Linked DNA regions of Drosophila melanogaster. The protein of the gene in region 2 interacts with the protein of the main gene of each other region in a pairwise test. Each region holds a gene or a part of one and is shown on either strand. Other genes may lie near its edges.

Region 1 (6,770 bases), on a different chromosome or scaffold from region 2:
ATGAGTAAAAACAATACACACTATGTACGTATATGTATCAAAAATGTTTGCTATATGAGCGCACGCGGTGTATGCTTCAAAGGTAAGAACATAGTTATTTTAACTAAAATGGTTAAGGAATGGCACTCCGTTAACTTTCGAAAGTCATCGAAAGCGGAATGTGGGCGGTAAGTGCTGTAAGCGCAGACTCAAACCTTTGTAAAGAATTTCGAAAGGAATTTGAATTTATACACAACTATGCGGCGGGACAGAGAGGGCGAGCGAGTGGGAGCGAGACAGCAGCGGCATGGAGAGCACGTTGAAAAAATCAGCTGTTTGTGGGACAGCACCAAAACAGAAACAGAGATGGCAGAAGTAGAGCGCGGCAGACAAAGCAGCGAGAGCGAGAAGGAGACGCGCGTAAGAGCGAGTGCGTCAGAGCGAGAGATAATGAAGATGGCAGGGGGAGGGTAAGGAGGTTAAGCACGCCGTGGGCTTTAAATTTCATGAATGCGAGCGCAAAAAACTGGGCAAAAAGAAATGCGAACAATGCAGAAAAAGGGGTAATGGAGAGAACGCAACCAAAACAACGGAATATAATAAGAGCGCTTTAAAAGCTCAGTTAAGCGAATTAATTTGCATGCCATTCGCGCGTTCTTGCACTCAAAATGTGAATATGTGGGTGCCCCCGACCCTTTGCTTACCAACACCACCGCCCCGCCCCCCCCGCTTCGCTCCTCCACAGCCCTTTTTGACTTTCCCCAACGCTTTTCCTGCCAATTGTTGTTCGTCTCGGGCATTGTTGCTGCGTGCTCTTTGTTTTTGCGCTTCATTTCATTCGTCACTTAAACACCCCTCGTCACTTAGTGCCCCCTACCCCTTCCCCATCAGACCCACTGCCCCCCTGCCGCACAAAATGCAACATCCTGGCAGCCATGTGATGCCAATGCCGATTCCCTATGCCGATTCCACACAAAAAGGCTGCAGTAAGAGCCCTCGAGGACTTTCCACTTAGTCTCCTGAAGAGAACGCGCCACTTCAGAGTTTTCAGGAAGTAAGACAAATAATTGCCGTGGCTCGATTTAATCCGCCATTTAAGCGCATTTAAGCCGCTTATTCGGCTGCTTAGTACTTACGTTTTCTAGGAAACAGAAACATTCACCCGAAGTTAATCCGCCGCCGATAACGCCGCCGCCAGCAAAATAAGGCCGGCGGCCCAATTAACAACGCCCATGCAACACGATAATTAGGTGCAACTTTTCTCTTCTTCGATCACATAACGAAAGTTAAATGTAAATGGGCTTTGGAATTCACAAATTTTTACGAAATTTTCTTTTCTATGCGTTTCCTGCGAAATTTCTCTCAGCGGAAAACACGCTGTGGCGAGTTTGAAGGCTTCACCAGGAATTTGTTGACTTGTCAGTGCGCCTCGAAGTTAGTGATGCGCAGGCGAATGGCCGCAAAAATAATCGCATGAATTTGGGCAAATTGGTAAGCAGAGTGCACTCGTCTATTGATGAGCAGCAGTTTTATTCAGGCAATTAGGTGCATTGAAAACTTCCAAGTGTAAATATTTACCTTAATTCCATAACATAACTGCCTTATCGAATGCTTTTGGTTAACAGTTAGTCACTATGGCGCGCAGAATAATTGATTTAAAAATTTGAAGCGCAATATTACGTTTTAAGAATGTAATGATCAATAAATGGCAAGAAATCAAATCTACATAATAATATATGCTATCATATTGAAGAATGTAATGAAAAACAAGCTTAGTTTATATAATTAATTAAATGACAAGTGCATACACGCTGGCGTTGCCAGACTGCTGCACATTGTTAACTGCGTGCTGTTAAGCGCAGCCTAACAGCACTCAAGCAGTGCGTGGCATTTCGACACATACTATGAACGGTAACATTGAGCACATAAAAAACGTAAACAATTCATTGTAAATTACAATTTCCCGCTTTTATTGCACAAAAATGTCCATGCAAAAGGCCAAAGTCATCGACCAGAAGGAGTACCTCAAGAAGTACCTATCCGGCGACAAGGAGAAGAAGAAGAAAAAGAAGGAGAAGAAGCACAAAAAGAATTCGGCCAACACCAAAGTGAAAATCATCGATGACGACGCCTACGAAAATGATAATCTGGAAATGGACGAAGATCTACTGCTGGGCGGCGAGGATGCGCCTCAAATTGTGGGCGAGTACATCGAAGAGGATCCCAATGTGCGCAGCAAGTGGCGCAACATTGCCGTCAAGGATGAAATCAAAGAAGAGCACGAGGAATCCTCGCCAGCAACTGGCATTCGCATCAAACAGGAGCCCTTGGATGAGGAGCAGGAGATGTGGGGACGCAAGGCGACAGTTGTTAAGGTTAAGGATGAATTCTCACCATCCAGACGAAGTTCACCCGTCAGAATTAAGCAAGAAAAACGCAGCAGCTCTAGGGATTTAAGCCCAGCGAGATCGAGTAAGCCAGCAAAGCGAGAAGAGAGTCCTCAAAGGGGGCGAAGAAGGGCGGGAAGCTCAGATCAGAGTCCCACCAGACGAGGGCGAGATGGCGATCAGTCTCCGCCACGCCAAAAGCACAGGGATTCCGATCAGAGTCCACCCCGAAAGGCCAGGAATGGCAATCAATCGCCAGTCAGAAAAAGGCGGGATTCCGACCAAAGTCCGCCAAGAAAACGAACGGGAAAAGCATCACCCACTCGAAGGAGAAGGGATTCCGATCAATCGCCACCCAGACGCCGCAGAAGTAACTCCGATCAGAGTCCGCCAAGGCGACGTAGAGACAAGGATTCAACTCCGCCCAGAAGGAGGAAAGATTCCGATCAAAGCCCACCTCGAAGGCGTAAAGCAGACGATCAATCTCCGGTGCGAAGGGAAAGGAAAGACTCCGACCAAAGTCCGCCTAGGAAACGGAGAGACAATGACCAGTCTCCAGTGCGAAGGAGGCGGGATTCAGATCAAAGCCCGCCCCGAAGACGCAGAGATGACAAGCAAACGCCGCCAAGGAGGAGAAGAAACTCCGATCAAAGCCCGCCAAGAAGACCCAAGGATGTAGATCAATCGCCACCGCGAAGAAAACGAGACTTCGACCAAAGTCCAACCAGAAAACGAGACAAATCACCACGCAGACGTCACGACTCCGACCAAAGCCCGGCCAGAAATCACAGAAGTCGAGAGCGCAGTCCACCGCCTCGTAATCGCTTCAAGGAAGAAAGGAAAAGTCGCTGGGCCAAGGCATCGCCCAGCAAATCAGCATCTCCACCTCCGACACACAAGCCGAAATCCACCAAGACACTAGATGGCAAGAAAGCTGGACTGCAGGATGCGAAATCGCTGAAGAAGGAAACCGACGAAAGGCGTCGACAAGAACATGAACTATTCGAGAAAATGTCCAGCGAAATTTCCGGTCGTGATGGCGATGTGCAGGTGCGCAGTACTCGCAGAAAGGGACACCGAGCACGAGATGCCGCCAATGAGGATCCCGCCGAGCAGGGCCGCAAAGAGGAGCACGAGAAAAAGAAGAAGGAACTGTACGATCGCTGGGGCAAGGGGTTGAAGCAAATAGAAGATCACAAGTCCCGCCTGGAGGAGATGGTCCATGAGGCCTCCAAACCGGTGGCTCGCTATGCCAACGACGAGGATCTGGACAGGCATCTGCGCGAACAGGAGCACGCCGACGACCCGATGCTGGAGTACATGCGCCAGAAGCGCAAGAAACGCGACCAGCAGGACAACAAGCCGGTGATGCCCAAGTACGAGGGCAGCTTTCCGGAGAACCGATTTGGCATCCGACCAGGATATCGCTGGGATGGCGTCGATCGATCCAACGGCTACGAGCAGCGTTGGTTCGACAAACAGAACGAACGGCGGGCCGTGCAGGATGAGGCCTACAAGTACAGCGTGGAGGATATGTGAATGTTGCAAGCGTTGTTTGCTTTCGTGTTGCAATAAAGATGTAGGCACTGCCTGTAAAAAAGAAAAGAGCAATTACATTGATCGTTTTCTTTGTTTTATTGAATTATTTTGGAAAATAAAGAATGTAAATAGGTAATATAATATTTAATATTTATTTACAAAAATTTGATTTTCGAAATGCCCGCCACTTTCCCGCCAAATCGACGTGCCACCTGCAACACTGGTCGCCAGCGCAATGCAACCCTGTGTGTAGAATAGCGGAGCAAAAGCGAATGGTAAATAGTCTTCATCTACACCTGCGACCTGCTCGTCGCTCCCAAAAAATCGTTTCAAAACCACGGAATAAACCGTGTAACTGGGGAAAACCCATTGTAATTATCAAGTTTAAAGTGTGCCGCACATTTTGGCTTCAAAACCAGAATAGGTAAGTGACATCATCTGCTAAATAGAAGCATTCTAAGATTTTTGCTTTGTAAGCAATAGAGTATCGATGTGTGTGTGTGTATGTAAATGGTTCTGCTTTTGGTTGCTTTGTTGCTGCTTTCGTTACAGCGAACAAAGCGTAAGCAACTGTATATGTGTATCGAGTGGGACGCCAGTGGTGTGTGTTTGTTGCCCCGCCCCCAATAATTAGCATAAAACTCTCTTAACCACAACAAAAACACCACAGTCGTGTTGGTTTGTGCATTTGTGGATTGGGATTTCGGTGGTTTTCCTTTTTTTTTCAGCTGCTTTGCCTGCCCTTCGCCTTCAGCCGCAATTGTCGGTCAGCCGATGAAAAACCAGTTTGTTTGTTTGTTGGCTTGTAGCTGCTGCTGCTGCGGCTGATTGTTGTGATTTTGTTGTTGCTGCTGGTGCTGCTGCACTGCAATTTGCTTGGCGCAAAATTGGCGCCAAAAGCTTTTCAGCTGCAGAAACGTGTGGAAATGTTGAAATGTGTACGTACCATTCCAATCAGGCATTTGGCGCATGCACGCGCCTGTCGCTCGCTGCAGCTTCCATCTCGCTCGCTCGCGGCGGGATGCAAATACCGCAATCAGCTTTCGTTCTATCTCTTTCCCGTTGACACACATACACACTTCCGCACATCGCATTCATTCATGACACTGCTATTTACTCCCCCTCTCTCTCCCCTGCCCCTCTACGTTCTTCTTTTCGATTCCTTGTGTGCCATTTCGTGGTCTGCTTTTATTTCGCTTCATTTTGAATTAATTGCACTTCGTTAGATTATTATTTTTGCACTCTAACAAAGAGCCGTTCGTTTGGATGTTACTTTGTGTGCAAATGAAGATTTAGCCAATTTACACAATCGTAAATTTAATTTGCGTTAGTGTATGTAAATCCATAATTTTCAGTTTCTATTTCCTTTTAGCAATCAAGTGCTAATTTGATCAATTATGCGCCTTTGATAAATAAATAAATAATGCAGTAAATTTATTTGTTTGATATTCTCTTTAATGTTGTAATTGTGCACTTTTCATACATATTATACTCCTTTGTTCTTAAAAATGCATAAAGTGAAGGTGGTTTTAAATTATGCTATAGACTTTGATTTTTTTAAAAGGTATTGACTAATTGAGTTTTTTAAACTTCAAGTTTACTCATTTTAAATGCATGAAAAACAGTTCTTTATAAGTTTAACTAGTTTTTAGTTATTTGTTGTTAACGGCAGATATTACACGCAATGGACATCGCAAAGATGCTAATTCTTTATTTCCCTAAGATAAGGGTAAAAATATCAAATATCTGTTTCTGAAAGTTTGCCTATTTTGCTTTTGAGCATGAAAACTTTCTTCAACTTTTCTTGGGCACTTTGTGTTTTTGAATGTTCTTTGCATCAGACAGGCTAAGATCAGTGCTTGGCCTTCTTCGACACATGGCCCTCTTAACCCCCCCAAAAAAAGGGGGAGAACCATAAACTGATGGCGCAGACACCCCAAGGAAACCTTCGCTGGTCCAAAAGCAACCCCCAGAGCAAGCTCAACCCTTGTCCTTGGCCCTTCCTTGTGCATTTCCTTGGCTTTTTCCTCGCGAATGGGGTGCTTCCAAGGACCCAGTGACATGACATTGTAATGGCTTAGAAATTTACACGCATCCCATGCTGAGTACGTGTGTTCCAAGCACCCCTTACAATCCACAGATTGATCCTCCCCCTTGGTCTTTGCTCGGAAATTGAGGGGTTGGTTTGTGTCATGCACTGTCAAAAATATTTATTAAATTACCAATATCTGAAACTCTAAATAAATTTCCCAATAGATGTAAAATCAGCACAAGAAATTTGCTATTTTCAAACGCCTTTTTTATCATAACTTGGCTAAAAATGTACTCACATTACAACATTTGATAGTTTTGTGCAGCTTATTATCCCAACTAACGATCTATATCACTTTTTTGTTCATATTTGGAATTTCAAAATTTTATGAATTTTGGATTTTTTGCAAGGGGTAACATCATAAAATTTTGAAAAAAATTTAACAAAAAAAAAAATTTTCAAATTTAAATGCCAATTGATTTAGAATTTTATAACGAGTTTTTTGAGATATGGCATTCCATATTGTGGCTGTTTTTTATAAAATTATGACGAAAAAACGAACTATTATGTGCGGAAAATTAGGCTAAAAAATTATTGCAAAATTTCATATTTACGAATACCACAAATATTGACTATTTGATTTTGATATATTTGAAATATTATTTATTACTGTTTATGTATGTACCAAATTGTTTGCAGTGTAGAATTTTGGCACAGTGATTCGGGTTCTTTAAAGCGTTTTTTAATTCCTTCACATGCTGGAACAACATAGGGCAAAGTTATTCAAATTCCTTTTGTTCGAAATCCTGTTGAATGGCAAAGGGAATTTCAAT
Region 2 (9,055 bases):
CTTCGGCGGAATCAATATTTATACTTAAACAAAAAACATGCTTAAGAATTCTGATCAAAAATTCAAATAGTTAAAAGTTCGAAAAGGAAAGCATGAATGTACCCAATAGCCATCGGGGTTTTTCAATTCGTTTGACACGCCCGCCTTTGGGAACTTCACAGTTGATAATTAAGAATTTATATCTGACCATATCAGGATGGCTCAAGGTGCATGGGTATCAAAAAAAAAAAAAAAAGAAATTCTAAGCCAATTAGTAGTGTGGCTGGTTGTACGAGATGTGTAAATATTTTACTCAAGCCCCTAATCACCTTTGAATGGCCGCATTAGGCCCAAATAGGCCCTGAAGGACATTCAGTTCAGAGTTAATAAACCGGCAAGGACTGAAGTAATTCTGATTGTGGGGCATCTATTTATAAATGCTCGCTCAGGTGCCAAGAGATTTTCATTGTTAGTTTCATCCAATTATATAAATAGATCAATTCAACTTAACGGAACCCTTGTTTTTTAAACCAAATGAGTTGTGGCTTAAGTTCAAATTATGACAAAATAATTATTTTACATGACGTACTGGTATATATCATCAATATATATCTCACCCTTTTTTTTCGGATGTGCTCAAATAATTTATTGGACAGCACATATAATTCGATTGTTGGTGTTTTCATAATTTCTCATCCTTTCAACGCACTTTACGCCAACAAAGGGTCTCCTTAGCCAGTGTCCTTAATCACAGATGTTCGGTTCGAGTTGCTTAACCCTAAGTTGGCCGCCCCCGTCTGTCATTGTGTACACACGTTGGCCAAAACGCGTAGCCTTAATTAAGCTTGAAAAGGGGATTTAATAGCCAAAGGACCCGCCCAGAGGGCCCAAGGACGAGCACGGGACACGAGCTGCGGCTGTTCCCCAGTTCCACTGCTGTGGTCATTGCAAGGATTTGCCTTACGCATAAGCTGGAAAAGCAAACCCAGAACTGCTGGTCAGGTGTGGGTTCAATGTCAATTGGTTCGTTGGCTGGTGGTTCGTTTTGGTCAATTCGGCTGTTGTTATCTTTGTTGTTGCCGTCCTTGTGTCGACGGCACATGACATGTCACAAATTCCAAGAAATTAGGCGTCGCATCTGTGGTTGTCCATGGATCGATATGAGACCAATTTGATCGATATGAAGTTTCCTTGAGCTTTGAACTTCTTCGAGTGTCCTTGACGGGTCTATTACACCTGTTCCCTCCGTCCAGTGTCAACTTCAAAAAACCCCCAGCGAATCCAATAGAATTTTAATTGAACACATTTTGGAAATTTTGACAGCTGTCCACACATTGCGTCTAGTCCTCCCCCCTCCCTCCCAAAAAAAAGAGGTATCATTGAACTGCAACCAGAAGTAAACTAAATAATTAACGTCAATTAATAGTGTGAAATATTAATTGAAGGCACGCCCACTGCACATCTAACAGCCCAGTGTTCCAATTCCCAACTACTGTATAAGGAATCCAACCCTATGTCACCACTCGCCGCCCCACGGGATTTATCAATTTGGGGCTCTTGTCACTGTGGGTCGCCATGACTGCGCAATTTATCCGCCATCGATGTCATGAAAGTGATTTACAATGAACACATACCCTATGGCAGACTCATAATGGGTGAACACACTTTCGAAACGAACCAAATGACATTTATCATAACTTCAAATTATAAAAAATATTTAATTATTTATTTATTTAAATTTAGAAAATGAATTTTTTTATAACTTACAAGGAAAGCTTTCAATGTTAAAAAATATCTTATATCCAAACTTATATTGTATATAATTTCGATCATTCAGCAATATTTGCTTAAATGCAGAAATCAATTAGTTTAAATCGAAAATCTTAAGTCTTGGAACTGTAACTATTTTTTTGAACCACATAATCTGGGTGTATATAGTCTCTTGACTTGAACAGCTGCAAGTCTAAGGATTTATTTACACCTATGAAAACGGAAGGCTTACCGCCAACAACAAACGGCATAGACGACAGGACACCAGCACGCCAGCACGGAAAACAAAACAAAAAAAACCTGGAAAATGTTTTAAAAACCATGCCACATACGCGAGAGAGCCCGCACATGTGTGTGCAGGATGTATGAGAAACGCACCGCTGGTTCCAGGACACAGGACACTTTGTTTGGAGCGCATAAACAAATGGCGGCCCATGAATGACACAGACATGTGAGGTGGATTTCTGATGGGGGCACATAGGTATTCTAAGGTCGTGCGTGAGACTTCCAATCGGGCAGGACAAGGAAATCCCGACCACCCACGCCAAACTGGAACTGCATTGGTGGTATGAAACTGCTGGAACCGCTGCTCATAAAGTATTCATTAATTGGAATAGTGACCAGGGGAACCGGTGCTCGTAGAGCTAAAAACCGAGCCAGTTGTCAATTCTGAAACTCAGTTTCGTTTCGGACGTTCGTCGAGTTGTACGTGCTCGGTTTGTTGAACTGCACAACCGCTGAACCGCTGAACTGCTGAACTGTGGCACCGTGTAGCGCACTCGGAAATCGAAAATCGGTACACAAATCGGTCGAGTTCGCGGCTAATGCAGGAATCAAAACACTAAAACCGGCAACGTCATGTAGTTCGTTGTGGTGCGTGTTGCCGACGATAAAGCGCGAGAACAAGTATCCCAGAGATACCAATAATAAATGTACACATATTTATAATATATATCGAGCGAATTTCACTCACGGTAGTCATGGACAGTCGAAGTTATAGAATGCAAAACATTTGTGGAATTCTAAACAATTTCCATTGAGAACTGATCCTTCTTCTACTTTTTATTTTCAACGAGATAATCATTTTAAAGTTGCAAGTGTGTGGGCTAGAGTGTGTGTGGGTGGTGTGCGGTAGGGAAAACACTATTGCGAAAATTCAGCTATACTGGCCACCGAATGGATAATGGGTATTTGTTTAGACACAGGTGAGTAATGCCACATGCAGCAGATTTGTAATCAAAGATTAGCATTGCCTCTCCACGGCCAAAGATAACAAAAAGAACCCTAATGAGTCGCGCAGGCGAACACGACAGGTGAAACACGGTATAGAAACTTCATGGGTTTTTGTGACCACGAATTTTCAATGGCAATCAATTAAAGTCGGTCTACATGTATAGAATAGCTTCTAGCTGATCACTGAAAAATATTAACTATTTTGCAGCATACTTTCGGGATACCATTGTTGGTTACATGAACTATATAAATTTAAAAGCAATATAGGAACAGAAATAAAAATTGACTACAAAATGATCCCCATATCATAACGTAACTCTTTTTAGTCTCGGTGACATATTCAATTGACCACAACTCAAAGGACAGTTTCAATTGAAATTACTGCAATCACTTTGCTTGAAATTTATTGAAAGAAAAAACAATTATCTGTGACAAAACGTTGCTTTTATATGTGTACACCTAGCGTTATATCAAAATCGAGACCTTGCCCAACGGTATAATTTGTATCGGAACTTGGACTCTTTTGGCCTCCATGGCTGCCAGGTCCTTGGACATGTTCGTTGACCACCGAAGCTAGTACACATAAATCCTGAAACTAGCGTCACGCACAAAAACAAAAAGAATAGCGATACAAATGGGGAAATCCCCGAGACGAAAAGGGATAGCAACAATAACAAAACATGTCAATTAAATAAAACTGCAGGAAAATCAATAAAAATGTCACAAGGACTGAACTGGTTCCGCGGGTGGGCAGACGTAAAATTTCTATGGGGAAATTTAGAGGGGTATGTGTACGGTATTGAATGCTATGGAATCGCCATGCTGCAGCTGATTTTCCATGAATGAATTCAGCGGTGACGCCATTCTATACTAAACACGGTTGCCATACAATTAAATAATTGTTAAACATGTTTTAATGATGGGCTTTGCGATTTGTTTCGATCCCTAGCTCCCTTCCACCCATCGAGTGCGTGTGGTTTCTGTCACTAATTTCCTACTCCTGGCAAATTGCTTCCGGCCTCGGTGAAGGCTGGCTAATGGCTAATGCCAACTTGGCACGTTATGTCTGCCCTTGCCTTTTTCCGGTCCCCGGTTTCCTTGCGCTAACTTGCCAACACATCCGGTTTCCGGTTTGAAAAATTTCTGCGCTTTTGCCGAAGTCAACTGTTGCTTCTCCATGGGTTTTAAAAACACTTAACTAATGAGATACAGTCCATTAAATTGCCTGTAAAAATCGGAGAATTGGTATATTATTGCTTTCTATTGAATATTTAATTTAAATTCCGTATTTTAGACCGATTACATTTTATTGTAAATTTAAAATAATTTATTTAAATATAATTAGATGCCAGCGCGGCACAAGATACCGGCGAACCAGGCAACGATTGGAATCTTACACGGAATCGAAATGGCCAAAATGCTGGCGATTTGGAGGCCGCTGCGGCGGCAGGACGATTGGGTTCTACCAATGTCGGCGCTATCGATATGCAAAATGCTGGAAAAATCAAATTCGATCCGCCCAAAGTGCCAGTGATATTTGTTTTAGGCGGCCCCGGTAGTGGCAAGGTCACCCATTGCGATACCTTCATGCAGGAGCGACGCGGTGTAACGCACATCAATATGATGGATCTCCTCCAGCAATATGCAATGGGCAATGGTAAGATATCTGTGGTAAATGAAGACAGAAGGTATATACAAGTATGCTATTGAGGAGAGACAGCTGTTGTTGCAATATAAACTACTTTATAATATAGTGCTGCATACTTTTAGACACTTTCGACGTAATCCGTTGCCAATTGTCTATTAAATGATTTGCCCACAGACATGCAAGACTTTTCACAACTGTCGTCGAAAACAGTCACTGAGGTGCTGATGTTGGAAATGAAAATGGCTCCAGCTGCCAAAGCATACCTGATATCGGGATATCCACGCTCCATGCGCGACGTTGTCGAGTATTCTGAAAAGGTAATTTTCCACGCAACCGACTATTTTTCGCTGTCTTCCCCACCAGCTCACCCAATTATTGTGAAGCCATTTTGATTGCCGCACTCTTTATTTGCCCAGTAAATTGCTGCTGAACTATTTCAACTAATTAACTGGCAAATGAGTCGGCGACAGTGTGTTTATTTGGCCATAATTCCCATGGATTTACGGTGACTCCTATATTATATATGCAAGTGCTAATTGGACAGACTGGGTGCAAACGGCACTTGGGGAGTTTCAAGCACATGGCGTTAACTATGGTATATAGACCTACATATTGCATAAGTAGGACATAACAATTTGGAGTCATAAATAAAAATTAATCTTCTTTGATTGGTTTTTTTTTTCTACTTCCTTTCAGATTCAAGTCGTGAATGGCGTGATTCTTATATCCTGGCGCCAATCGGTTCTACAAAAGCAAATCGATTATGGGGCCAAATTAGGTCATGTAGTACTCTCCTTAGCCAAAATGGAATTAGAAAATTTCTTTAAAAATGTGATGCCAGTCGCCGATTATTTCGATCAGAGCGACATGTTGTTGGCCGTAAGTATTTTGTGCATTGCAATAATGATCATATCAATAATATATGTTAATTGCTTTCTTTTTATTTTACAGGTAAATGGCGAACGTGCGCCCACAGAGGTATACAAAGACTTTCGCACCGCCGTCCTCGATATACTGAGCACCCTCGAGAACCAAGAGGCCGTTATGAATGGAGTTACAGGTATGGGCAGAGGGATACATGATATACCCGGCAGTATAGTTAGCGTAGACACCGCACCAAGTCAAGCCCAACAAGGGACTCAAATTGCAGAAGACAACGACGTTACCAATGCCTCGGAAACTGCGGGAACAGTTTTGGCCAGAGATTTGGCGATCGAACGGATGGATGGTGGGCCAAATGGAGCCGTGACAGCTCTGAAAACGGGCACCACCAGTGCGGACGATGACAGCGGTGTTGTGGTCACTCAGCAGCCAAAGTTGCGCCAGGCTGCTGGACCAGACGAATCCGGATCGGATTTGCCACCTATTATATGGGTGATCGGCGGTCCGGGCAGCAACAAGGCCACACTCTGCCTCAAGGCTGTGGGACTAAATCCTGGCTGGGCTCACATCAGGTATGTTGCATTGGATGTGCTCATTATATAATTTTGCTTAAACTGGCATACTACTTTTTAAGTGTCGGTCGTCTTTTGCGCAATATCACGGACTCTGCACCACGTGCCAATACGGAAAGCTTCGCCGTCAAGGAAGCCTTGGCCGCTGGGGATATGGCCCCAGAAAAGTCGCTGAATCAGCTGCTGGAAACCAATCTGCGCCAGTTACGGGATAGAACTGGAATTATCGTAGATGGTTATCCCAGAAACCTGCAGCAAGTCAAGTACTTTGAGAACAAGGTAATCTATATGATGGCTAAATCCCAATTTAAAAGTAACTTTAATTTACTCCCTTTTTTTTATTGCTTAGTATAAACAACGACCGCCTATTATCCTGCTGGATTGCTCAAAACTTCAGTTGGGCCGAGGACGTATAGATGATACGGTTTCCTCCTTTCGCCGTCGCTTGGAACTCTTTCGTGAGCAAACTCTGCCCATGCTCAAGATTCTGGATACCAGTAATCGTTTGCAGATTGTAAGTAACCAAAGAACATTCCGAAAATAATAAATGATTTTTATACAATATATATAAATATATTGACAGGTTGATGGAGACACGGATAGTCCATCAGTGCAGCGCGAATTCGAGCGTCTCATCCGGAATCACATCCAGCGTTTGTTGAACAAAACCGATGATATAGACGACTCAGCCAACTTGGGTAATCAAATGATGCGGAACGAGCAAACGGATGCCATTCTACACGATCTGGAGACCAATGTGCCAGGCGCCGTGCCCACAATTAGTCACCACGTGAGCATGATGAACGGTCATCTGAAAAATCGCGGAAGCGCCGTGGGGAGTGGAAAACCCCACGGTCAGATGATGAACGGACATGTTCCCGGCAGACCCGGAACCGGACCCGTTGGCCAACCTGCACCCGTCGATTTCCGGCACATGCTGGAGGAGGCCGAGCGATATCCGGTCGACTCATATATGTAGATGTAGGCTTAAAGGAATCCGTAGTGCAGACGGATATTCAAGTTTTATATAGTTTTCTAATCAACCTATACTAAGCGTACTGTTAATGCTGATTTGTTGAATTATCGATAGTAGTTCGGGGGACCAATGCGTAAGTTAGTCCGTCTAGATTAAGAGTTAGAAGAATTCAATTCAATACTTTATTTCACTAGACGAGTACCGATTTAGAATAAGAGTGCGTTAGGGGTAGACTTTAGAATGTACGATTTTAATAAAATCACAAGAGTTGAAAGTTGCTCAAGAAATTTATTATAATCCGCTACTTTCTTCGAAAAAAGATCTGGGGGACAATTGACCTTAACCGATTGCGGTGTTGCATTAAATGTTGCGTATCTTGGTTAACAACGTTGACTTCAACAGAGCCAATCTGGTGGATGGGATTTCCTTGCCTTTCCGGACTATTGTGATTGCGCCATTCCAAAAATTATAATCTTTCTTATCTTCATCAAAGTCTCCAGTATCAAATTCGACATAAAATTTGATAAAAGTATTTCAACTAAATACTTTTCTGACGAATGATTGATGTTATTAGTCAACTGATACCAAAAGTTTGGTTAACGAATTCTCTGGAATTTATATAGCACTTCATTCTCCTAAGCTGTCGGTTGGCCCTTAAAATTTTTTATAACTTGTTCATCTGGCTTGGGAATGCTGCTAGCAAAGGAATGCAGTTGAAAACTTATGTAAGGAGTTTTAAACTAAACTTAAACTTTATTTTGTACATAAGAGACTTAATCAGTGGAGGTCACTAAAGCAAATACAATATAGTTTTGCAAGCTTATCATCGATGCATGTGGAGTCTTCCTTGTATGAATTCGTTCTGCTGATTTTCTCCACATTTACTTGAGCATTTTGGGTGGAATTATGGTATACCACTGTGGCCTGGAAGTCAGCACTATTCTGCTTCACTTTAAACTTAATACGATAAACCGCTGTTTCCGATTCCATCAGTGTTTGGTGCCAATCGATGTTAAGACCGGTTTTTATCTCAGTCTTATGCACATAATTTAGCGTCAGATTGCTGCAAAGACTGGTTAAGTTCTTTTGAACGAAATACTCGTTCATTCGATCGATCACACTGTGGGCAATAGGAGTCGTCCAATCTTGTCCCGAGATAATCTTGTAGGGTTCGCAGGTGCACCAGTGCTCCTCAATGCCGGCTTCCGAACACGTTCGACCCTCCGGCAGGGGATAGAATAGCGACTGACAGGTGGGGCAATCGAAGGACTTGGGTAACTCTCGACCATCTGGGGTGCCTCCAATCTCTATGATATGTTTCAGCGTATTGTGAAGATCAAAGTTGGAACTAAGCCTGTGCTGATTCAACTCCAGTGCCCTTACATAAGATGGATATGTTTCACGAAACCACGGGGGCAGATATATAAACATCATGGGCAGCCGCTCCTCCAGAAAGCCCTCCTTCAGATAGGTCAAATCGCCAAATCTGGTTCCGTGGTCGGCGAAAAATATCATTATCATTTCTTCGAATTGCCCATCCGCATGCATATCGATCAAATCTCCCAGCACCTTTTCCTGCATTGCTGATGGCATAAAGGGATCATCGTGACTGAAGTGATTCGACCAAAACATTCCCCAAATTGGTCGATCGTGAACAAAACGCTTCGTGAACTGTAGGCCATAGTCGTAGATATAACGATTCGCTATCCGGCGACCCAAACAGTATCGCATGTAGTCATGTTCCGGCAATCGGTACACATCCATTTCGGACTCCAGTGCTCTAAGCAATGGGCGAAAGTAATAGTCCATCGGCTTTTTGGAAAAGCCGGGCTTTAGGTAGTTGAAATGATTCGAGTTACTCTCGTCCTCCGCGTATCCTGTCAAATAGCTGGCATTCTTGAAATACTTCCATATCATTGGCATCTCGTCCAGGCAGCCCTGTTTATCCGTATCGCAGACATTTTCCTTAGCCGTACTAGCTGAATATCCACTGAG
Region 3 (6,079 bases), 4.0 Mb from region 2:
AAGTGGCCCAACGACAACTACTCCTAGATCCACAACAACAACTTCCACAAGTGGCCCAACGACAACTACTCCTAGATCCACAACAACAACTTCCACAAGTGGCCCAACGACAACTACTCCTAGATCCACAACAACAACTTCCACAAGTTGCCCAACGACAACTACTCCTAGATCCACAACAACAACTTGCACAAGTGGCCCAACGACAACTACTCCTAGATCCACAACAACAACTTGCACAAGTTGCCCAACGACAACTACTCCTAGATCCACAACAACAACTTGCACAAGTTGCCCAACGACAACTACTCCTAGATCCACAACAACAACTTGCACAAGTGGCCCAACGACAACTACTCCTAGATCCACAACAAAAACCTCCACTTGTGCCCCAACGACAACTACTCCTAGATCCACAACAACAACTTCCACAAGTCGCCCAACGACAACTACTCCTAGATCCACAACAACAACTACCACAAGTCGCCCAACGACGACTACTCCTAGATCCACAACAACACCTTCCACAAGTCGCCCAACCACAACTACTCCTAGATCCACAACAACTACTTCCACAAGTCGCCCAACGACAACTACTCCTAGATCCACAACAAAAACTTCCACTTGTGCCCCAACGACAACTACTCCTAGATCCACAACAACAACTACCACAAGTCGCCCAACGACAACTACTCCTAGATCCACAACAACAACTACCACAAGTCGCCCAACGACAACTACTCCTAGATCCACAACAACACCTTGCACAAGTCGCCCAACCACAACTACTCCTAGATCCACAACAACAACTACCACAAGTCGCCCAACGACAACTACTCCTAGATCCACAACAACACCTTGTCCAACTACAACACCATCTGCAAGTCCTACAAGAACAACAACAACCCGTCGTCCTTGCCCTTGCCATCCCCAGCCTCCTTACCAGATTCCTCCTTGGTCATGGTGGTATCCGAACCCGACCTACCCCAATCCCGTGTGGCCCTGGCAACCTAACCCAGTCGTTCCTCAATGGCCACAGATGCCCGGATATCCAAATCAGTGGCCACAATTACCAGGTTATCCCCAGCAATTACCACCGCCGTTGCCATCACCTCAGTGGCCGTGGTCTTGGCCAAAACCACCAGTAGTTCAACCTGGCGACTGTGAAAACATATGCGAAAACCTACTGAAGGGAGTAAAATATCAAGAAGATCTCATCAGAAGGTGCTTGTGCACACGAACATAATCCTTTAAAAAAGAATCACGTAATTGTTTTATTAAAATGTTGTCTATTTAAAAAAATAACTTAAAACAAAGTTTTGATGGTTAAAAATATCGAACGGGTATGGTATGGATGTAGGTTTGATGATATTGAATGGCAAGTCTATCCTTCAGAAGTGGGAGGAAGGATTATGGATGTCACAATGGCGCATGCGCCTATATGGTTTTTGGATTCCCATGTTTTGCTTAACACTTTCGTCCCTGAGAAGCTCAGAAAGCTTGGGCGCCATTCATCAACAAGTTTGCATTCGGACTTCAGCACTCTAATCGACACTTGACTACATTATTACTTATTTAAACGCAATCATTTGACCCATTATTTTCCGACGCCTTTGCGTTTGGTTGCACTGCATTGCTCATGCGACATATGGTCGCACTATATGTTTGGAGCACACATTCGGACAAGTTTAATGACCAATTGCCAAGGGATTGGAGAACTCACTGCTCTTCGAATTAGGTTAGCACATTAGCTGGTTAAGGACAAACGTGGATTGAAGTTAGGATGGGGAGAGAAACAGGAAAACTTAACGAGTTCTAGCATATGATAATGTGTACAGCCATAAACTTATAGCTAACATCGTAATCCGTGCACAAGCTATTAAAAACTTCAAGAAGATATGTCCCTAAATTTTTCCAATAGTAATAAATATATAACCAAATTTACTCTCTCTGTAGGGCATACTACAATCCTAATAAGCTATAAACACTCCAGAGCAGAGCCTCTAATTTGCTGGTAATTTATCAAAATCTAGATTATAATCCTGCTGATGGATTATGTTTCGGGTCGATTAGTACCCCAGTTATAGGACTACTAGAGTTCGTCCTTCGTTCAGCTGAGCTTGCACATTTCCTACACAATAAGCAGATGTTAATGGCTCCCTTCTTTGTTGTTTTTGTTAACTTGTTAATACAAATACACCGTGTGCCAATTCACAAATCCAACAAGGTATAGTGGACATGCCAACAAAAAAGCTAGCAAAGCAAATAACACATTGTTGACAAACAGCGGGCTATTGGGGTGAACCTTCAAAAATCTATTGAACAAAAGTATTACTCGTCATATGTATTGTAGCATTTTAATTAAGGAAACATGTATTTTAATCAATATAACTTAAACTTAAAGATAGTAATGGTTGCACATGTCGTATGCGCAATTTTCATGAAGAGTGGTCCGCTCTAAAGGACACATACGTGGTAACAAGGGGGCTACGCTGGCCCCTGTCCCCACCTCCCGAAATGGTTTGTGGGTGGATTTGGTGTGGCCCTGTCCAATGGCTAGCGCGCAAAAATAATTTTTGTTATTGTGTTTTCCCTCATAAGTGGACATGACGGACCCAACGAAAGCTCATTCAGCGCTGGACAGGCGAACTGGAAAGGTCTAAGACGGAAGATGTCATCGCCGGCAGAGCGGGCGAACTTCGTGCAGCACTTCGGACAGACAACCTGAGTGATGGGCTGTGGCTCCTCCATGGATACGCAGACGAATCCTGTCGTCACGGAGGTCAGCTCGGAAATGCAACCTCGCCAGAATGGCGCCTCTGGAGTAATAGCACTTGAACAAGTCGTCTTACCTTTGCCATAATCAATACCTCTTCCATTTCGTCATCAGAATGTGGTCGAGCAATATGTGCGCCTGGACGAGCAGATCAGCAAGCTGGAGGGCACATGTCCTGGTCCTCGAATGGCCACCGCCGAGGCCTGGGTGGAGCACATTCAGAGCAAGCACGAGGCGATGCTGGGACTCGATGGCATGGGAGTGTCTCCTTTGCGCGAGAGGGAATGGGAAACCGAGGAGGCCCTGCCCATTCCAGCTTACACAATGGGGGGGCGGCAGGGCGACCCAATTGTGGCCAACACGCCCACCAAGGACCTGGCCCAGGTAAATGGCCTGCCATTAGTGAATGTGATGAACTTCCCTCAAGTATATTATTACCATTCGACTTTAGCTTGCCTACAACCTGGGCGTAATTGGCGATGCCCGCAAGGCTTCCATGCACGAGGATTTCTTCGCCAACCTGAGCGAGTCCGCCATGTATTTGCTTAGCATTCGTTACTACGGCGAGATGTTGGAACACACTAAGGTGCGTCTAAAGACTCTGGCCGAGAGCTATGCAGAGCTGAACGAGCTGTACGTAAAGCAAGACGGGATTATAGCGTATATAAGCGGGGGAACGTACATGACTCGGCTGGAGGAGAGCATTGATGAGCAGCTTGAGACGGCAAGAGATACAAGGGATAAGCTGGGCAGCGCACTGGAGCAGTGGCGCATCTGTGGATTACTACTTAGAGCAGCCGCGAATTCCTCGACGCAGGCATTAAAACAATGGCGACAGCTTGGACGGATAATGTGGGTAAATTAATTCCCCACTTAGAACTTGTTGACATGTTATTTCTCGTTCAGAGATCCCAAGCAAAAGCTTCAGTGGGCGTTGGACTGTCGAAGTCTGTTACACGCCTCCACGATATCCCTAGAGGCGGCTCAGCTGGCTCTGCCGCACGTGGAACTCAAGTACATGAGTCATCGGCAAGTCCTAGCCGTCAAGCACTGCAACACCTACCTAATCACGGATATAGCAAACAAAGCGCGGTAAGTTAATATATAGATTTCTCTAGAATCTTCTACAAAGGGAAACGAATCCCTTTTAGGTACGAGCACACCAGTCGGGTCTTCACCAGTTACGAATCAAACATGTCCAAAACCTGCACGTGGCTCTACGAAACCTTTAACAGCACGCTGCGCCCAGACTACGACAGGGCGGAGGAAACTGTATGCGGGCTGGCCAAGACGCTCCGGGATCATCGCGAGGAGGTCTTCAACACGGTGCGCAAGTGACATTAAACTTATTGCTCAATTATATGGGTATTTTGTACATTACTTTAATAAACAGTAGGCATAACATTAGTACCAATAGCTCTTGACTGGCGTGCGTTCCTCTTTGATGCCCATTTCCTCCATAATGTCCATCTCGAATGTGGACAACTTGGGCTGAAAGGTGATCTCGCCCACAACAGCGCCTGAAAAGGACAGACTTGTATGACTAGGAACATATTGAAATGCGATAATAGCCCATACCTGGCGTATCCTTCTCCCTTTCGATATAGGCGTTTGGTGTTTTATAATCGTGCGTCTGGTTGTTCGTCTCCGGGATGGGTATGATTCGGCCAGATCGCAAGGACACCCGCACTTTCTCGCCCTCCTCCGTGAAACGCCACTCAAAGTCGGTGCCCTGAAGATCCGATGGGTCAACCAGACGAATGTCCTTGGTGACGTGCAAAGGTGCCTCGGACTTGATAATGATACCGGGAAACTCCTTCTCACCGCCAACCTTGCGATAGTGCCAGTTCAGGCCCTCTACAATTACCCAATTGCGCTCGGGTATAACCTGGGTGACAATTCCCTGCTTTCCTTTGTCTTTACCCACAAGGACTTCGATACGATCGCCGCGGAAAAAGCTCCAGTCCTCTGAAAAGGATATACAACCATGTTTTATTAGGTTTTAGAGGTCAAGGCTTCTTATTCCTTACCAATTGGTTCCACTAGCACCTTGCGACGCACGGTTCCGGGCATATTTTGCTGGCGGAACTGACCCGTCCATGAACGATTTGTGGTGTAGCGGAATCTCTTTCGCTCCACGGTACGCGGTAGGTAATTAATCTCCTTCGGAGTTTGCCAGTACACCTGTGTTGAGATGAAAAAAAATATTTTAATAAATGTGAAACATTTTCCATGCGATGTGTTACGTGAGCCGCTGTTCACAAGTTGTTCAATGAAAAAGACTCTTCCTGTTACCTGTTTTTTGCTGCGCTCGATGTATTCCTTGGGCAGATTGGAAAAGTTCTTCAACTTGCTGGCCAAATATTGCGTTAAACGCATTTTGAAAGGTTAATTCAATTATTAATAATAAGAACTAGTAAATTAAATGCGGCTTGCAATCAGCTGTTGAGAACTGAAGAATAGCCATTCACAGGAAGGCCCAACAATTTTATTTATATTTAATGTTTATGCGACTCTAAAGATTATGAACACTTGATGTAGGCTTGTAAAATATTTAAATTAATTATTTTCGAGGTTTAAGAAAATATCTTAGCTTATATATTGTTAAACATTATGATATAGAAATTTAAGAACTAGCAATTATTTCCCCGTGTAAACGTGGTTCGCTGTGACTGGCAAGAAGAGGTAAGAAGAAGCAGCTGCTATTTGTGGACTACTCTTGGTGTTTTATATCGTTCGCCGTAGCCCTAAATTGCAATGCAAACCGGCTTTATATAAACAAAAGGTAAGTGCTAGACCATATAAATGTGGGCACGTGCGGGCGCAACATCATTGGAAGACGGAATCGCAACCGGAGAGCGTCTATTCCGGCCAGCTCAGTCCAACCGTTTGGGAAGGGCCTTTCAACGCTTAGTCATATCCATATCTCAGCGCACACCGAGACAATCCAGTTCCTACCCACCCATAAGTTCCTCATTTAACAAGCAATATGTCCCACCACATAGATATGGAAGACCGCACTGATACGGAGCCCGTGCTGCTCTCCAAGCACGCCAAGAATCTGCTCCGATTCCTTAATCTCCTGCCAGCTCGCATGGCCTCGCACGATAACACCAGGTAAGTGCATCCTGGCCTCGTATTTAACTTTTGGTTAACCATTTCCTTGTCCATCAGGAGCACCATTGTGTTCTTCGCCGTCTGCGGCCTGGATGTGCTAAACTCATTGCATCTGGTGCCGCCACAACTGAGGCAGGACATCATTGACTGGATCTACGGAGGATTGGTAGTGCCACGCGACAACGA
Region 4 (10,185 bases), on a different chromosome or scaffold from region 2:
AAAGAGGTAATTCACTTTGAAAAAATAAACTAAGAAATCAAAGAATTATTATACATACATATACAGAATTATTATACACATACATACATATATAAATATGTTCATATGTATGTACATAAAAATATTTATTGTTCACGTTTCTTCTTTTCAGATTTGGAAGCGGTTTAAATATGATCGCACATTTTTCGGCTAAGTTGCAAGCCTTATATTCGTTTTACTATAAATACTCCTAAATCGATTACATAATGCTGGGTAGGTTTAAAAAGAAAAGAATATTATGCTAACTGTACCACCAGAATTGAACCAATTTCATATCAAAAGAAAAGTGTGTGTGCTGTTGTTTTAGACTGCGCCCTTTTTTCGAGAACTTGTCGAGCCAGCGCTGATCGATATCTGCCCTAACTCACACTTCCCACAATAGCTAATTTTTGTTATAGCTAAAAGAGGCTAAACATGCAACACTGATATGACACTTCGCTCTCTCCTGTTTTCACAATGAGTATGAGGAGAACGAAAAGAACAGTTGATTTCTTGTAACCGAATGGAACACTTGTGACTTTTAAGTGCGCATCGAATAGACTGGATGTTGAATGAAAAGAAAGACGTGTAAATAACGGAGTAAAAGAACGAGAGCGAGGAACCGTAATGCGAGTAGTTCATATGTTGATGAATTGAAAATATAGAGAGTTTCCATTCGTATATTCTTAAGCTAACATAAAAATAAACAAGTTGCATGTGAAATAAATAGATAATGGAAACGGCGTTGGCTGAAGTGCAACTTTCCTGTCTGCTGTGCGAGCAGACTTTTGATGCCACTGAGAAGCTGGACGAACACCTCCCCACCCACTTTCCGCAGCCTGTGAGCACTGGTCAAACATGCGATATATGCGGGCGCACGATGCGATCCTCGCTGGAACTGCACCAGCACTATAAAAGATACCATGAAGCCCATGTGCCCAACACAGAGGGACACTTTCAATGCCAGCTCTGCGACAAGGTATTCCTCCTCCAGGATCATCTCAAGGTACACGTGAAGATTGAGCACGCGACCGATGGCTACCAACCAGATGAGAAGTCCTTAGATTGGCAGCACTACTCTCCCAGAAGTCTAGACACAACAAACGATTATAAGCTGGATCCCATCTTGTGTCCTCCACCAAAGAGGAAGTATCCGCCGCGCTCCCCCTTCTTCAATCCGTAAGTCCAGATACCCAATTTATATTTGTCCATTATTAAAGTTGATATTTTTGCAGGAATCTCTGGCTAGGCGCTGACAACTGTTTTATGTAGAGGAACATAGAACCAGGATATGTCTTGCGAAGGGCTGACCGATTTATTGAGTCTTATGCGCCATCATCTATCCATTGTAAATGATTGTTAATTTAATTAAGGTCTTTCCCAAAACTAAATTGGGATATATTGGGAACAACAGATGTGCCTGTACATATGAAAATAAAACGCATTGCCTTATGATTTAATTAAAATTTATTTCGCTTTATATCTTGATGTACTCGTATGTGTATAAAGTATGGTACAGTATTTGTATATGGTTTTTCGATTAGTTAGCCCACTCAAAGAACGACAACTGCGCCACCTGAGGTACAGGGATGGGGTCTCTTTATTGATACAGTATAATATTCCTTCTAAGCTTAAGACATTCACTGCCTAGCAGTCCAATGAATGCAATACACAATACCAAATCCGTACATACGTTTGAAATAAGTTCGCTAACTACAGTGCAACAAAACGCCTTTCCTTACACTTATAAATAAATATAGATTTCTCTGGATTCCGGAAAATAAATACTACTGAAAACAGCAAACAATTGGGGTAAGCGATAACAATTTGTGGGGCTGAGAAGTTTGCAGAATGTTTGAAGCAGTTGGAACGAACAAAAATCGAGCTAAAGCATAATGTACAACAGTTTCGTTGGTTTATTGCATAGTTTCTATAATAAATAACGGAGCCATCCACTTCTTCGGGAGCTCTACTGACTGGTTAGCTGAACTTTTGACTAATGTTCGCCCTAAACGAACTGGCAACGATATCTTAGTTTCTGTTGTGACAAGTTGGCTCTTTCGCATTTACTATGATCTTCAATTATTTTATTTTATTTTTAGTGCAACAAATCAACAAATAAATAAATACATGCACTTTAAAATTACCTAAGCCGAGAGAGTGGGTAGGGGATGGGTGGTTAAGGTGTATCAAGTGTATGTCTGTCCCGAACTGGTCTCCATTGTTTCGCACCAGTGTCACCTGCATTCGCTTCGTGCTTCTAGTCACCAGAGTCTGAGTTTTTAGGTTCTTAGAAACTCGTATTTATGCTGCATACAATAGTGGTAGGATATCCTGCTTATATACTATTTAACCTGAGCCCGAATGTGTTGCAAAAATTCATAGTATGACAAACTAGATTCACTGCGATCGTCGGTTAATCTCTCGGTGAACTGGCCCTTGGCCGTGCTCGTGTCCCTTTAATTTAAGATAAAATAATTAGCAAGGTATTATGAATATTTTAATAGTGGTCCGACTTACCTAATTATCTGCACCAGCGCCGAGTAGGGCTTATCGTAGTTGAGTCGCAAAATAAAACGCTTCAGCACATCGTTCTCGTTGCTCACAACATTTGGCAATCCATATACATAATCACCCAGTTCTGCGGTGGAGCTGATGCCTGAAATTAGAAACAGATTAGTAACACAAATTGGTTGGGTTTTAAGATCATACCCAGAACAGCTTCCAAAACATCGGGCGGCACATTAAGGCCGACATAGATCATTATCAGCGTTCCGCAGTCCATCAGAAATATTGACCGAGAGTCCAAGCTGAAGTTAAAGCGTTCGTTATCGAAGGTCAAAAATAAATCAACTCTACTCACTGTTCCGCGGACAATTGAAGACGCGGCAGCTCCGGCAACGGTTCATCCTCGTCCTCGTCGTCATCCTGGTTCGAACTAATGTTCGAGTTGCGGGCGTGGTAGATCAACGCATCGATCTTGTACAGCTCCGGGTACACGTACTTCATTAGCTGGTCCAGCGGTAGCGTTTTCATGCAATCCATGGCGTAGACCCGATCATCCAGTCGTGTGCTAGTTCCCACACGGAAAGCGGGCTAGTGGAAAACCGAAATAAGCTGTGATAACTAAGATCATATGCAAAAAACTCACGTGCTTAAGCAGGGCCAAGATGTAGAGCGGGAGCAACGCCAGGCTGCGCGGCGCTATCAGCTGACCCGACTGTCCCGATGGCAGATTTTGTGCTATCTTGAAGGCATTGTACACGTCGATCGTAGCGTTTATGAATGCATCGCGGGCGTCCGACAAGTTGGAGGCGACCGACCGGTCAACCGCCATTTTCGACAGCAGCCCGATAATAGCTTCCGTGTCGGCTGAATGCATTACCTCTGGGAGCGAAGCGGTAACCGGCAAACACACGGTGTGCACACGGATTCGGCGCTCTCCTTCGCTGTTCGTATAGAGCAGCGCAGCTTGGAAGCAAATCGTTTTCGCGTCCGTGAGGCTCTCCTCGTAGGAGATCTGCATGCCATATCCAGCATCCGGATTCACGTTTGGCAACGAGAGCAGGTCCGTGGAGCGCACGAAGAAGTTTCCATGGAATGTATGCACCTGCAAGCCACGAGTGCAGCGGATTCGCATTACCGCCTCAAATCCAATTTTCCTGGTAAGATAGCGCTTGAAACACGAGCGGAACGATTCTACCATGTGTGGCTTTGTCTTCTGGTAGAGCGGGAAGTGGTGTACACAGCCGCCGCTATGTTTGCTAATGCCAGCTATAGGGAAATTGAAACTCCAATAAGTTAACGGTGCTCTATTACTCGTAAGAGAACTTAATGCAAAAAGGCAGTTTGAATTTACATTACTAAGAGTCACTTACAAATGGTTGCCATGTCGCTGTACTGCTGGTTCATCAGGAAGAGGTCACAAGCTATTTGATAGCCGGAGCACTCTAGGGCAAAGCGCTTGTAGAAGTCGGTTGCCGGGTTAAGGTGGGCCACGTCCTTTGCCGAGCGGTTGTTGGGATCTTCGCGCGGCTCCAAGGCTCCGGGTCCCTTGTTGGGAAGGCACGATTGAAAGACGGTTATCCGTCCGCCGGACGCTTGCTGTATACAGTATTCACGATGATTAAGGTTCCTCTTTAATTTTGAATAGCTCAACTCACCATTAGCTTGAAAGCAACCTGCAGAGCAGCACCCAAGGCGGAACCCGGATCGTGGGTGTGGGCAAACCGCTTAGGCAGTTGCTTTAATAGATCACGCACCAGTTCCTTGCACTCCTTTAGGTTTACCAGCAAACTATCAGGACGTGGCAGGAAGGGGTCCTCGATGTCCAGCAGCGTCATTTCGTGCGGCTGGTTGAGCCCCTCGGCCATGCTGTAGAAGTGCACGAAGCTGTCGAAGCAAATGAATCCCACCTGGGTCCTCGCATCACCGGGCATCTCGTCTAAGTGCCGGTTGAGTACGGCGCATGCGGCCTCCAGATAACCACTCTGCTGCGCGATTATCGAGACATCGAAGAGAAACAGGTACATGGCCGGCTGTGGCGGCCGCAACATGTACTCCGAAGGAGCAATAAACTCTATGGTGCTAGAGCGTACCTCGGGCCTTCGGGTTACGTCGCCGTATGTCTTTGTGGCCGGATCAAATTGAAAGTCATCTGGCACTGCACGAAGAAAGAAACATTGGATTACTAAATCCATTATATGCTGGGAACTCTTTTCAATTACATTCGTTGACTCGATAACACAGATTGCACTTCCACATCTTGCTGTCCACGAAGTAAACGAAGGGATTTATGTAAGTGCGGCACAGCCGGCAACGCACAATGTTGATGCACTGAATAACAGGGAGGCTCTGTGTGAGGAATTCCAAGTTAAAGTCTTTTATATCAAATTATTTTCAATAAAATTCTTACATTGACATCACGGAAGGGATGTATCACAATGCCCAGAGGCAGACGTGACTTCTGGAGCAGAGAGTTGCTCTCGGGAATCTTGGTCAGCGTACAGCGCATAATGCTCGGGCTACAGTTTATGGACTCGTGAAACTGGTTGTGCAAAACCACTTTTGGCGGAGGCAACGTTGCCGGCGTTAAGATATGCCGATTCTGCATAAGGTCGATAGTATCCTGTCCCCACAATCTGCTGAATCCCTGCTGAGCCACGTTTAGTGGAGCAGTGGTTCCATAAGGTCCCCCGGGTGCAGTCTGGGGTGCTTGCTGAGGATGTTGTCCGTAAGCCTGAGGAGGCGCCTGTGCCTGATACTGCAGTGGAGCTCCAGTCGGTTGCGTTCCGAACATTCCCGGCGGCGGTGGCTGCACTGCAGACTGAGGAGGTGGTGGCTGTTGCTGTGGTCCTGGTTGATAAACCTGGGAGTATGGATACGTCTGTGGTGTCTGCTGGGCTGGCGGCATCATGGGCTGGGCTCCCGGCGCCGCTACATTTGGTAAGCTCGGCGGCCATACCGCTCCTACTCTTGGTGGCGGCGGTGCATTCTGTAGATTGTTGTTTTGCTGGCTCTGCTGCTCGGGGTTAGTTGGTGGGGGTACTCCGTATGGGATTCGTTGCCCCGCTGGTGTTGGTCTACCGGCCATCGAGGCGCTTCCGAACATTTTGGCCGGATTTGGAGCCAAATTGGGGGGCTTTTGTCCACTAAACGGCGTCGCCATGGCATTGGGAACTAGTGCAGCGGCCACTCCGCTGGCCGCCAACAGACTGTTGGCGTCGTTGAACTGCGGTGGACCCGTCTGGGCCGAGGCCACTCCCCTGCCATCCTTTTGTGTTACTGTGGGTGCGTACTGTTGCTGGGTTTGGGGTTGTGGCAAAATGCTGGTACCTCCATTTGCTCGAGTGGTATTCAAGTTAAGATTTTCCAGATTGCTCGTCAAGTTGGCCAGAGATTGGTGCGTCGGTTGGGGCGAAGGACGCAGTCCCGACGCCAGGGGCGGATTGTTCAACGCTGCAGCGATTGGTCCTTGAGCATATTGAGGGGCAGCTCCTACTGGCCTTGGGGATGCAGTGCGCGAAGAGTTCGCACTGGACGCCCCATTGCTGCCGTTCGTAAGGGGTGGTCCGTTGGCGGCGGGCGGACGCAGATGGGGCGGCAGCGTGCTGGGCGGCAGTTGCTGCAGAGGTGTAGCTGCTCCTGACGTGGGCGGCAAGAACTGGTTCGTAATACCACTGTTGAACTGCTGCGGCGGTGGCACATTACCTGGCGCTCCTGCTCCCGGAAAAGCTGCTGCAGGAGGTGGTTGCTGGAACTGTTGTGGCTGCTTCTGTGGTATATACTGCTGACCAGGTGGAGGACCTGGCTGCTGCTGGACGCTTCCTTGCACACCATTCACAAAATTGTTTCCGTTCAGTGGCATAGGGGCGTGGGCGGGAGGCACGAAGTTCGGATTGTAAGTCGACATGCTGCTAATTCATAGGTTTGTGGTCTGAAAGATGAAGAATTACATTTTGTTTAGTTGCTATCTTATCACTAGCGAAGGTTGCGTTGCTGCCGACATGAAACAGGGAATTATCTTATCGTTCAATGTTAAAAAGCGCGTAACATGAAACAATGTGCGGCTGATAAAAGTTGTAAAGTTTTAAAGCGGGATGCTTTTCCCCGCTTACAGACAGTTTAGAATTTGCAGTGATCGAATGGAATGCGAAATTCTGCGTTATTGGAGCTTTATCACAAACTTTTAAGCTAGACTGGCTGCCTAGGTAAATGTCTTGATTCAGTGTTTACAGAACTGTGTCTACGTCAACAGTAAGTCGGAAATAGGGTGATAATTTCATATCATATTTTGCTGTTTAAACAGCTTCGACAGCAGGTCGTTATGGGTTATTATGTGATGTACAACGTGTAAGTGTGCGTGCCTCAAGCACTTGACCTCGCCATCAATGATCGCAGAAGGTGGGTCGGTTAAATTGGTGACCCAGATGCAGTGGAAGCAATCAGGAAGAGAAAGGATTTGTCTCCGGAACAAAGCAAATTTTTGATGACGTGCCTATTGGCGAAGTCAACCCGCCACGCCCACCACCCACTCAAAGAAATTGGGGCAATCAAGGCATATGTAGTGCCCATAACACGGTTACCAATCACTTATCACCTTCCCGAGCTTCAGTTTTCATTGGCATGAAGTTCCTCGGCCAGCACTTGCACTTTGTAGTTGCCTCTTCTTCTTGCGCCCTTGATTGGCGATTTTGCTGCGGACTATGAATTAGCTTTTCCGCCTTTCGTTGTGAGGAAAGGGCGGATGCAGCTGTAAAAACCACTGGTTGTACTCTTTGTTCTGGTCTTTTGTGAAATCCTTGGCTGGATTTTTCTCCGCGAACGAAAATTAAACGATTTTCGCACTTCCCTACGCTCTCTCCACTCCCAAAACTTCCTTCCGCACTAGTTTCTTTCTTACACGATTTCAAGCGCTCCTCGCGTGCTCCGGATGGATGCGAACACGTCCTATATTGGCAGGCGGATTCTTTGGACTTGGCGTCGTACGCTGCTATGCACAATTAACTTAAATGCAAACTTTTTGCATTTTCCGGAGAACAAAAAATTTTGAGGCCACGTCAATAGTGTGACCGTTGGTTTTAAAAAAGAGATGACAGTGCTCTGGGTCGCCTATCGATTGCAAATAAAATGTTATCGATACCAATGGTAACATTATTTTTGTAACAATTCAAATTTAAAACTTAACGCAATGTTTATTAAGTGAAGACAAGCAATGTATATTATATATAACTCTGTTAATGATATGAGCTTAAATGTTCGTAAGCCCGAAATCCAAAATCCATTAAAACTGCTTAAAGAACAAATCGCTTTATTTGCAATATTTGTATCTGCTTGGGAGTAGCTCAATTTCTCAATTAACACGTTGGTTAAAAAGAAAATCGCAAAAATATATACAAGTTTCCCCGGGCTTGGATATAAGTTCCAATTAATGCCATTGGGATTACAATTCTTTTATTCTACGGGGTAACTAGTTCGTTAAATATTACTTTAAATCAATTTCGAAGCGTATTTACTTTATTCGTTTCATTTTGCGTTAACTTTGCGTGAGAGTAGTCGGTAGATTTGCTGTGTGGGTGGTGTTGCTTCCTGGCTCGTAAGTTATAAAGTTATAAATTAAATTTAATGTCTATTATTCAACGTGTCTAGGAGTTCGGTTTTCAATTGGGTTCTATTGCAGTAAGGTGTAAAGGTGTGTCACCAGCGGACTCTTGGTAAAGCTTTATTGTTATTATTGTGACAAGTGGAATTCGAAACATAATACTAAAGGTAATCGTATTTGATTTATAAGCTATGCGACTGGAAAATCATTGTGCACCGTGTGTTCTATGTCCGTGTGTCTGTCCTGTGGTCTTGGAAAGAAGCGAGGGTGCAGTATCTGTCGGATACTAGCGTGTCGGTATTGTATTTCGTCTATAGCAGAGTCTTTTATTTCAAAAATAGAATCTCTATTATCCTTAAGTAACTATCATTTTGTAATCTACAACTTTTGATATATCCCATTATGTATTGGATTTCTTTCTTTGTTGCTAGTTAGTAAATGTTAGTAATGTAAAAGGTATTGAATAGGTGTCATTGTGTTGCAGTTTACTGCGATTGCCTTTGAAACACACTAGTACTTAGTAGTAAATAATAATCGTTAATTCTGTATAGAAACTGTGAGTGTTTGATTTTTCTGTCTCCGCTGAGCTGTCGAGCTTGACTCGCGTTCCAACCTAATGAGCAGAGCTTTACTCCTTTCTTTTTCTCTGTGTATATTATTTACAATTAATAACCAGACCCTGGAGCCTCCATCATGGATCTCCTTCTGCCAGTTCAGTTGTTGCTCTAACTTTTCCTGCATTCGTTACGTTGTATCGTCAGTGTTGAGAGGTTTGCGCACTTGTGGAATTAAACATATAGTTGAGGCTCGTTCTTGATATGATCCATATATATAGACGTTTTTGGTGTTGTTGCTCTCGTTGTCAGTCGGAGGCATTATCTCTTGGCCTCCTTCTCCTGCAGATACATGCGCTGACTCAGCGGCTTGGCGTAGATCCAGTTGTCGCCCACGGGCTTAAAGTGCTGTGAACGAATATTATCTGTTAACTGTTTTACCCTATATCGGGATGACGTACCTTGTGCTCCCAGGCCAGATCGTATTCCTTGCGCACCTTGGCTTGATCACGCTGCTGTTGCTCCACAACGAATTTGGCAGTTGTAGCGCGCTCGATGTCATTGAACCTGTGGAAGAGCAACGAACAAAGAGATTACATTTATCATGACTCGCAATTGGGGGTCAGGAATTAATTGGTATGCTGTTTACTTGAGTCCCGCTGTCACTTCCTTCCAAACGCGTCGCGATTCGTACTCATCCTGCTCAACGATTGGTCGAACTTGTTTCTTAAATATGGGTATGCGATTTACGTCGACGAATACTTCGGTTTTCTAGAAAATTCAAGAGATTCATTCAGATTCACTATGTGGTCAACTGATTGGGATTGGGTGTAATATTAAACACACAGCAATCATATATAAGTACAGATAGCAACAATTTGAATACAACGTTGGACAATCAGGCATAGGATTAATTTGTGGGTTCGATTTTCTAGACAAACAAAGTAAACACACAGAGGAAATGCTCCCGAGCTATTTAAGAGAAAAGCAGAAGAATCGTGGATAGTAAGTAGAGGTCTAGTTGGGGTGTGAAGGGTGGATGTGGCTGCCAACTCGTGGGGTTGTTTGTTGCAGCGTTTTGGCGCAGTATGCGGAGGAAAAAGTACAAGTAAAGGATCAACATTTACAGAAACAATATATAATAGTACACTACAAACATAAACCAAACATATTTTGGACGACTTACGTTTTTATCATGCCACTTGGCCTCCATCAAACCACTCCACTCGCCCGTAATAGAGACGAAAGGCTTCTTTTCGCTCGGCGCATAGACCTATGGATTATCCGAATTAATAAAAGAAAACAAATGTACACATTCAGAGCTAGTCACCTCTGCCGAGACCCTGTTCCGTTTGCCGCCATAGAATGGCTTGGTGAGGAACTCCACGTTGGCATAGTATCCAGACTGTGGACACTTGATCTCCACCGAACCGCCGAGCTCAATCCAAGGCACCGTAAGAATAGACCTTGGTAATGGAAATAGTCTTCAGTTGTTTGTAACCGGAAATACCA

Evidence for each region.
Region 1: the proteins of CG9541 (region 2) and CG13625 interact in a two-hybrid assay, tested with the Drosophila melanogaster proteins (one large-scale study listed by BioGRID).
Region 3: the proteins of CG9541 (region 2) and synr interact in a two-hybrid assay, tested with the Drosophila melanogaster proteins (one large-scale study listed by BioGRID).
Region 4: the proteins of CG9541 (region 2) and Sec24AB interact in a two-hybrid assay, tested with the Drosophila melanogaster proteins (one large-scale study listed by BioGRID).

The regions. Positions count from the first base shown.
Region 1 is NT_033777.3:24,580,272-24,587,041, reverse strand, and holds CG13625 (uncharacterized protein), read left to right. Parts: upstream 1-1,881; 5' UTR 1,882-1,961; coding exon 1,962-3,905; 3' UTR 3,906-3,975; downstream 3,976-6,770.
Region 2 is NT_033779.5:8,968,809-8,977,863, reverse strand, and holds CG9541 (uncharacterized protein), read left to right. Parts: upstream 1-2,887; 5' UTR 2,888-2,932; coding exon 2,933-2,954; intron 2,955-4,327; coding exon 4,328-4,639; intron 4,640-4,804; coding exon 4,805-4,947; intron 4,948-5,326; coding exon 5,327-5,509; intron 5,510-5,581; coding exon 5,582-6,084; intron 6,085-6,146; coding exon 6,147-6,363; intron 6,364-6,433; coding exon 6,434-6,598; intron 6,599-6,667; coding exon 6,668-7,063; 3' UTR 7,064-7,344; downstream 7,345-9,055. Other genes in the region: CG18088 (uncharacterized protein), read right to left, coding at 7,838-9,055.
Region 3 is NT_033779.5:4,940,121-4,946,199, forward strand, and holds synr (sayonara), read left to right. Parts: upstream 1-2,621; 5' UTR 2,622-2,731; coding exon 2,732-2,824; intron 2,825-2,890; coding exon 2,891-3,160; intron 3,161-3,227; coding exon 3,228-3,628; intron 3,629-3,682; coding exon 3,683-3,868; intron 3,869-3,927; coding exon 3,928-4,114; 3' UTR 4,115-4,180; downstream 4,181-6,079. Other genes in the region: Sgs1 (salivary gland secretion 1), read left to right, coding at 1-1,246; mRpL24 (mitochondrial ribosomal protein L24), read right to left, coding at 4,181-4,296, 4,355-4,744, 4,807-4,960, 5,072-5,155; betaggt-I (beta subunit of type I geranylgeranyl transferase), read left to right, coding at 5,784-5,893, 5,951-6,079.
Region 4 is NT_033778.4:9,874,763-9,884,947, forward strand, and holds Sec24AB (secretory 24AB), read right to left. Parts: upstream 7,596-10,185; 5' UTR 7,421-7,595; exon of another isoform or gene 6,634-7,420; intron 6,455-6,633; 5' UTR 6,431-6,454; coding exon 4,934-6,430; intron 4,873-4,933; coding exon 4,746-4,872; intron 4,682-4,745; coding exon 4,182-4,681; intron 4,123-4,181; coding exon 3,897-4,122; intron 3,793-3,896; coding exon 3,170-3,792; intron 3,115-3,169; coding exon 2,882-3,114; intron 2,829-2,881; coding exon 2,731-2,828; intron 2,678-2,730; coding exon 2,539-2,677; intron 2,476-2,538; coding exon 2,364-2,475; 3' UTR 1,470-2,363; downstream 1-1,469. Other genes in the region: CG12744 (uncharacterized protein), read left to right, coding at 752-1,197, 1,254-1,290; CG1513 (uncharacterized protein), read right to left, coding at 8,995-9,081, 9,135-9,240, 9,323-9,444, 9,860-9,946, 10,004-10,139.